Stegostoma tigrinum: one gene and its partner. The protein of the gene in region 2 binds, or shares a complex with, the protein of the main gene of each other region. Links are inferred from orthologs where the notes say so. Each region holds a gene or a part of one and is shown on either strand. Other genes may lie near its edges.

The links.
Region 1: the proteins of guanine nucleotide-binding protein G(i) subunit alpha-2 (region 2) and P2Y purinoceptor 12-like are in contact, whole or in part, in a cryo-EM structure (PDB 7XXI), measured with the Homo sapiens proteins. The link is inferred for Stegostoma tigrinum from reciprocal best matches to the Homo sapiens genes GNAI2 and P2RY12. Residues at the interface, in NP_002061.1 of Homo sapiens: Arg24, Glu28, Ala31, Arg32, Leu195, Glu319, Ile320, Tyr321, Phe335, Phe337, Asp338, Ala339, Thr341, Asp342, Ile344, Ile345, Lys346, Asn348, Leu349, Lys350, Asp351, Cys352, Gly353, Leu354, Phe355; in NP_073625.1 of Homo sapiens: Phe59, Asp121, Arg122, Lys125, Thr126, Pro129, Phe130, Thr132, Asn134, Pro135, Ile212, Leu216, Ser219, Tyr220, Arg222, Thr223, Arg224, Val234, Lys237, Ile241, Leu301, Cys302, Lys303.

The regions. Positions count from the first base shown.
Region 1 is NC_081367.1:65,974,671-65,978,422, reverse strand, and holds the start of P2Y purinoceptor 12-like, read right to left. Parts: upstream 2,405-3,752; 5' UTR 2,237-2,404; intron 1-2,236. UniProt on the Homo sapiens protein: Receptor for ADP and ATP coupled to G-proteins that inhibit the adenylyl cyclase second messenger system. Not activated by UDP and UTP. Required for normal platelet aggregation and blood coagulation.
Region 2 is NC_081364.1:15,213,613-15,217,364, forward strand, and holds the start of guanine nucleotide-binding protein G(i) subunit alpha-2, read right to left. Parts: upstream 2,718-3,752; 5' UTR 2,375-2,717; coding exon 2,257-2,374; intron 1,286-2,256; exon of another isoform or gene 1,126-1,285; intron 1-1,125. UniProt on the Homo sapiens protein: Guanine nucleotide-binding proteins (G proteins) are involved as modulators or transducers in various transmembrane signaling systems.

The DNA of each region.
Region 1 (3,752 bases), on a different chromosome or scaffold from region 2:
GTGAGCTGGTCCTGTGCCCATTGGTTTTGCTGCCTCTTGCCATCCTGCAGTTTTGTACTGAGTCAAGTTAGATCTGGCTTACTGTCCCAGCATCTGTGCATGGTGGATGCTGCACTGTAACTGCTGGTGACTTTATAGCTTCGACGGTTGGTGGGGCAAACACGGGATCAGACTTTGACAGGATGGGCTGTCTGAGAGTCTCCAGAAACAACTGGTGCACTCTTGGTGGGTATGGTCCAACAGTTAGTTTCTCATCCCTTTGCCACGCATTTTTTCACCTTTGGAACCAGTTCGAGCCACACTTGTCAGTGCTGTTTGCAGGGGCTTGCTGCGCACAAATTGACTGCTGCTGTTCTTGTGTTGCAATAGTGACTACACTTCAAAAAGCCCTTCGTTGGTTGCAAAGTGTATTGGGGCTTTCTGAGATAGTGAAAAGCACGATGAGGAAACTTCCTCCATTACGACTGAACAGGCATTCACACTTTATTGTGATGCTCCTGTCCATTTACTGATACACATCCGTCTGTAAAAGACAGCTACCTCCTGCTGAGCTGGAACAGGTTTCTCTGTCATGGTGTTGGAGCCAGATGGACAAGATGCACATCTGTTTAGTTTTCCCACTAAAACTAACAAGGAGGGAAAAATTATTCCCTCGCCTTGGAAATTATAATGTATTCATTTGTATTTTTAAGTGGTTCTGTAGGAATCCGATTCATGCTGTGTTTTAACCTTTTCAATGGGGAAAAAGTACAGGCACCCTAAATGGAGTGAACCAAAGGGCACTCACTGGTATAACACTGACTGAAAACCTACAATGCACTTCAGGTTTGAAGTTTTTGAGGATTAGTGGAAGTGAGTAGAATTCTAATGTTTGTTGACAAAACCGTATGTAAAATCTGCAGGATTCGTATGATTCAATCAGAGAAACAAGATGCAATTGCGAATGAAGAAGGAGGGTATATTAATTCTGAAAGTTGTGTGCAAAGCAAAATTTGTCAACTGTGTCATTGTCCAGGTTATGACAAATGATTTCTTTCAAAACACTTTGCAGTGACCCTCTTACGAATGAAGTACGGAAAAGTATTACATCGATCAAATGAAAAAGAGAAGACAGATAATTTGAGCAAAACATTTCTGATTTTGAAATGAGGCTGGATGAAGCTGCGTTATCTATGTACACACCATTAGCAGGAAGTTGCAGATAATAGATTGCAAATAAATTAGTACAAGATTGCACAGTTGTGCAGTAAATTTGCATGTCGAAATTTGAAGTTCGGTGCAGGCTGGTAGTTGCCTTGTTCTTCCTTGGCGTTTATACACATTCAGTTACCGAACCTCACCTTGTTAACCTCAAATATATTCAGGAGGAATATTTCTTAGCTATTTTGTTTTGGTAAGTCAACCCAGTAATTATTGCATCAGAGATAATGGGAACTGCAGATGCTGGAGGATCCAAGATAACAAAGTGTGGAGCTGGATGAACACAGCAGGCCAAGCAGCATCTCAGGAGCACAAAAGCTGACGTTTCGGGCCTAGACCCTTCATCAGAGAGCTCCTGTGTTGTGCTCCTGTGCTCCTGAGATGCTGCTTGGCCTGCTGTGTTCATCCAGCTCCACACTTCGTTATCCCAGTAATTATTGCCATTATTTTGTTTCAATCGTTTGGCTGTCTACACTTCCTTTTTTCAAAAACATTGTGTTTAAACTTGGAGCTTTCAGTGCACCCTTCCAAAATACATTAGTCCTTGGTGGACTTCGTACAAATAATGACCTGTTCTCAAAAAGTGGAAAGGGAAAAATTTGCAACCATATAACAAAATAAAAATTAATGTGACAATAATTATTACCATAACAATTACAAATGTTTAGCCAGGATTTGCCATTGTTGGTACAAAAAGAAAGTTGCTGGAAAAGCTCAGCAGGTCTGGCAGCATCTGTGAAGGAGAAAACAGAGTTAACACTTCGGGTCCGGTGGCCCTTCCTCAGAACCCAACCCGAAACGCTAACTCTGTGCTATCCTTCACGGATGCTGCCAGAACTGCTGAGCTTTTCCAGCAACTTTGTTTTTGTTCCTGATTTACAGCATCTGCAGTTCTTTTGGTTTTTATTTGCCATTGTTGGTGACTGCTTCACCTAAAAAGTCATGCTGTCAATTTACAGATTTGATTAATCTTTTCACCAAATGCTTCTGCTGACCCTGTCCTAGATTTCTGTAAGTGAAGATTTGAATTTGTTACCTGCTTTGCTTTGCCCTCGGTTCCTCGATGATGAGGTTGGAAGTGTCGTGGAATCTGACCTCCGTGTTTCAGAATGAGCATGTGTTCTCTCTGAGGGATTGTACTTGTATTCATCTGTCGGAAACAAAGGCCCATTGCTTTCTGAATTGCAGCTTTGTCACCGCTTCTGCTTTCTATTCTGCTTATGTAGTTCACGATAAAAATATTTCCCTCCTGTTGCCTGCTGTCCTGAGCTGGAAATATTGGTCATTGCTGTATTTAATTTTAAACTCCGGAATTATCACTGACAGTCTACAAACTCCACTTCACCACCAGATTCTGTCTTTTGAGGGCATTGTTTCACATAGAATGCAGTTCTTGGTCTCTGCTGCTTGACCTCAAGTGACAGCTTACGATCACTGTACAGATAAAGATCGGTAGCACTACTGCAGAAACAGTAACAAAATAGTAATTAAATTATTTTATTATGGTTTTATAATGTGACCATTGAATCAGTGTTTTTTAAAAAAAAAACAACATTGGGATTAATGACTACCTGTTAAATGCATGCTGCTTCTCTCCAGTCTGTTATGAGTCAGTGATCTTGCCACGATTGTACCCATCCCAAAGTTAAAGACGACAGAAATCAGCAAAGTTGCTCGCCTTCATTTTGAACTCTGGCTGTGCAAATTTGGGAGAGACTGGATCCTAGGAAATCGGTGCTGTAGCTTTCTTTGCATCCCAGCCAAACACTGATGTTTGATTAGACTGTAAGAGCTAGGAGCAGGAGTGGGCCATTCAGTTCCTTCAGCCTGCCTGCACCATTTGGTACATTGTGGCTGATCTCGTCTTGGCCTCAATTCCAGTTCTCCACCGATCTCCATAACCCTTTGACCCGTTACTAATTAAAAAGCTGTCTATCTGCTTCCTAAATTTACTCCATGTCACCGCATTCACCGCATCCTGGGGTAGTGAATTCCACAGATTCACAACCCTTTGAGAATGATAATTCCTCCTTACCTTTGATTTAAGTCCGCCACCCTTTACCCTAAATTTATGACCTTTCGTGTTGGATTGCCCCACAAGGGGAAACATCCTTTCCACCCTTATTTAGTCAGTCTCCTTTGGCATCTTATACATCAGTTAGATATCTCATTCTTGTAAACATCAGAGAGTATAGGCCTAAACCGTTCAATCTCTCTTCGTAAAACAAACTCCTACTCTCTCGAATCAATCTAGAAAATCCCCACTGAACTGCCTCCAAATTTGGAGACCAAAATTGTATTACAGCCCAGAAAGACCATTGGGGTCCCTATCTGCAAGATGTTTTCTCATCAGTCTGTTCATTGATAGTATTACACACCCTTAGAGCAGGTGGGACTTGAACCTAGGTCTCCTGGCTCAGAAGTAACCACCGTGCCACAAAACCCTTCCCTGTTTGTAACACTTAAATCTGCACAGTAACACAGATAGGGTCTTGCAACACATTGAGCTCCATATTCCGAGGGAGTGGGAGTTGAGGATGTGGTGAGGTAAT
Region 2 (3,752 bases):
CCACACAAGCTTTCTCCTACTTTACATTATCTCATCCGACTCTATTAAATTTCTCTCACAGGTTCCAAATTCTAACCACTCCTTTGGCGAAGTTGTTTCTCCTCAATTCCTCAATGGTATTTTTAGTGACCATTTTATATCTACAGCCACTAATTTTGGACTCACCCACAATGGAAAATATGTTTATGTCAACTTTAACATAACCCTTCATAAATTTTATTTATGGTCGTCTCACATTTCTATTTTTCAGTGCAGAAGTCCAGGCTACTCCATCATTGCTGCTCATGATCTCTTCTCAGGGATCGTTAGTCCTGACGAAATTTTACCAGTGTACATCTCGATCATTTTTGTATTCTGGAGACCAGAATATGCATACCTTTGAATTCTACTTCTCCAAAAATGATAGCCACTTTTTTGTTTAAATGACTTTGCTGCTTTATGCATATTTGTGATGCGTACCCCTGAATTCCTTTGCACTTCAATCTCATTTGGTCTCATTTTTCAAGGCAATAGCAAAATACATTTTGCACTGCTGTATTCAAAATTGAAAATATTTTAGAACAATACAGCATAGGAGAGTCCTTACATGGGAATAACAAGTCTTCATCCCTCATATAGCATCAATTGTTCATTCCTCACATCTCAGGCTTTTTCTTACTTTTTTGTGACAACAGTGAATGCAAACACGACCAGATAAATTGTTCACAACAGGAAATTATACAGAATGCTACAACACCACAAATGTCACCTCATCCTCTGAAGCTGGTTCCACACCCAAAAGGCGTATTTTTCTCAAAGTCTGAGTAATTAAAGCTCCATGATCTGTTTCTGTTAGAAAGCCCAAAGGATCCTTGAGTTAATGTTTAGATTCAAGCCTGGAAGAGTGTAACCTCCCAAAATCATGTCCAGGCTTCCACAAACCTCTGAGCAGCCTCCATTTCAAAAGGTTATCTTGGCTGGAGACTACTTATGCGTTTATTCTTCCTCCGTTGCTGATGCCGCCTAAGTTTATATTGCAGGCGCTATGTAATTGCAAGCCACTGAAATGAACGGTTTCACTGTCCCGCGCGCTTCATGGTATGAAAGCCTGCACTTTGCGGTTATATAATCCTTTAACAAGCATACCTCTCTGGCCGACGGCATCACTTTTCGATGTGTTTTTGTCCCCGTGTAATTGGGGACATGTATAGCATTAATTTTGCTGGATGTGCAATTAAATAAGCAGGCGAAAGCAACAGGGCACTGCAGGCAGCCTGCAGTTGTGAATAAGCTGGAGAGATGCTTATTAATCACGGTCAGCCGCTAACTATCATTCCCAGCGGATCCCTGTCCCCTCCTTCCCTGTTCTAAACACTGTGATCTCTCCGATTGATCCTACACACAGGACAACGGTACAGGCGGAGGCTGCTCTTGGGTTGTATGCAGATGTGGGGCCCTGCCTTCCCTCAATTCTTCTCCACAGCCCTTCCTTCCCTTTTTCCGTCTGAACCCTACGTCAATAGGCTCGAACTCATCGTCGAAGTTCACAAAAGAGAAAAAAAAATTGCAGCAGAGATTGTCATCTAAACCCTGACGACATCTGCGCATCTCGAGAGTTCATTCTCTGTTGAAATCACTCAAATTCGGTGGGAAAATTGTGGAATTGAACAAATATTAGAAGAATTAAAACGACCCTTCATTTACTTTAAAAGACGGATTTCTCTTCAAAAAGAAAGGCATTGCTACGATTGTTTTAAAGTGCATGCAGGAAGCAATGTCTCCAATTTCATGGGGGGGGGGGGGAAAGAGTTAATTTAAATCAACCCCAATAATCAAGAACGCTTGGGAGCATTATCATTGAGGTGCCGGAGTACAATTTGAGACATTAAATACAGGAACGGCCAAATGCATTCCTTGGAAACAAGCTATTCAACTTCATCTACAATATTCTCCTTCTAAATGTTCAAGTAGGGCCTGCTGTTGAAAATACCTTGCTTCATGCAACTTCCGTTATTTTTGTCACCCTTTCCTCCTACTCCCTTCGAAGGAAGTAAGAGCGTTTTGTTCAGGGAAGAGATTAAACACACAATAAATCGCGGTCTGTTCCACTCAGTTTGTCATTTTGACTGTGAAAAAGTTACAGAGCGTTCACACTTCAATCCTTCACTCGCACTCCCTTCTCTCGCTGTGGTTAAAGTGTAACGTTAATATAACCCAGCCCGAGGAGTACACATATAGACCAATAGACAGAAACATACAAACTGAGACCCAACTTACCCAAAAGTAACAACTTCACTTCTCGAGCCGCTTTCTCTCCGTCCTCCCGGAGATTCTTATCAATCATTTTCGATCGCTCGGCAGCCGCCTTGTCCTCAGCGCTGATGGTACAACCCATTGTCAGTTGAAGTCGATTCAATTCTCTTTTTGTTGTGTGTGGATGTTCGACAAAGAAGTTCTCACCCTCCTTTCAAATTTCAGCTTCTAAGTCCTCTAGAGAAAGGTCCAGACGACGTCGCCAAAAGAAACTTTATGCAGATATATAGGACGTTGTTTTGTTTAGGCTGAGTTGGAATGCAAAAAGAAGCGTATTGAAGAGATTTAGATTCCGGCTCGGGTGGCTGATGATTTTTTTTTGTTTGCACTCAGCAATTCACTAAGCCCCTGTGACTGCGGGGAAGAGCTGCGTGCCCGTAGCACTCTGCCACTCCACCACACCCCAGCCCGGCTCAGAGCGCACAGGCACCCGGATGGCACAGGCACAAGGCGTGAGCTCGCCGCGATGCTGAACGGGAAATGTAGTTCCTTACTTCCACACCCAACCAGTTTCACACGGGGCCGGGGAACTACAATCCCCCGCATACCTCTCGCCCCTGCAACGCCTCCCAGGTAACATGATTGACAGCAGCGTTTTTGCTGCAAATACTGGTTAATGTCGCTGGAAATCTGGTATTTCTATTATAGTTTTCAAAAGACAAGTAGCATCCGCTAATTGTTTCACTGCCTGCTGTTGATTCCGACAGTAAATACATCATTTTGCTTAAAATTCTGTGCACGCTGCTCAACCCTCGTTTCACTTTTCGTGTTTTACAGTGTTTAGCATTCATTACCCTTTCTCTTCAGTGACACAATGTTATTTATTCTGCAGCTATTCGAGTGACTTGTTGCTACACCAACAGGGTTCTGACGGCCGGAAGGAGACGAAATCCCCAAGAATGAACCAATCCCGAGTTCACCGGCTGTGTTAAATTTAGCAAAAATAACCCAGGAATCACACGGATGGAAACAGTACAGAAGCACCACAATACAGGCACTGACATGTCTATTCAGGAAAAAGTACACGCAATCGTCACCCGTTTGAAATGTAACCAACTACTGATGACTTTCTCTTGGATTATATAAAAACAAAATAAAAACGTTTAAAAGACCAACTACCGAATGGACGTCCGGGACAACTGTTACATTTATGTTTATAAGCAATAAAGATGATGGTCGCTTCTGCCGAGAAAGAACAAGCTGCGTTGAAATGAATTAAGAAGGTGACGATTTGCTTAAGAAGAACTTGCACTTACAAAGTGAGCTTCACAGAATTGTTCAAGTGTAGAATCAGACCATTCGGCCCACCATGCCTGCTCTGTTTCTATTACCTAGTGCTAATCTGCTAATTTTCCCCCTTATTCCTGCACACCATTTCTATCCAAATAATCATCCAATACCTTCCTGAATTCTTCAAATGAACCTGCCTCTACCACATTTCCAGACAGCGCAGTCCATAC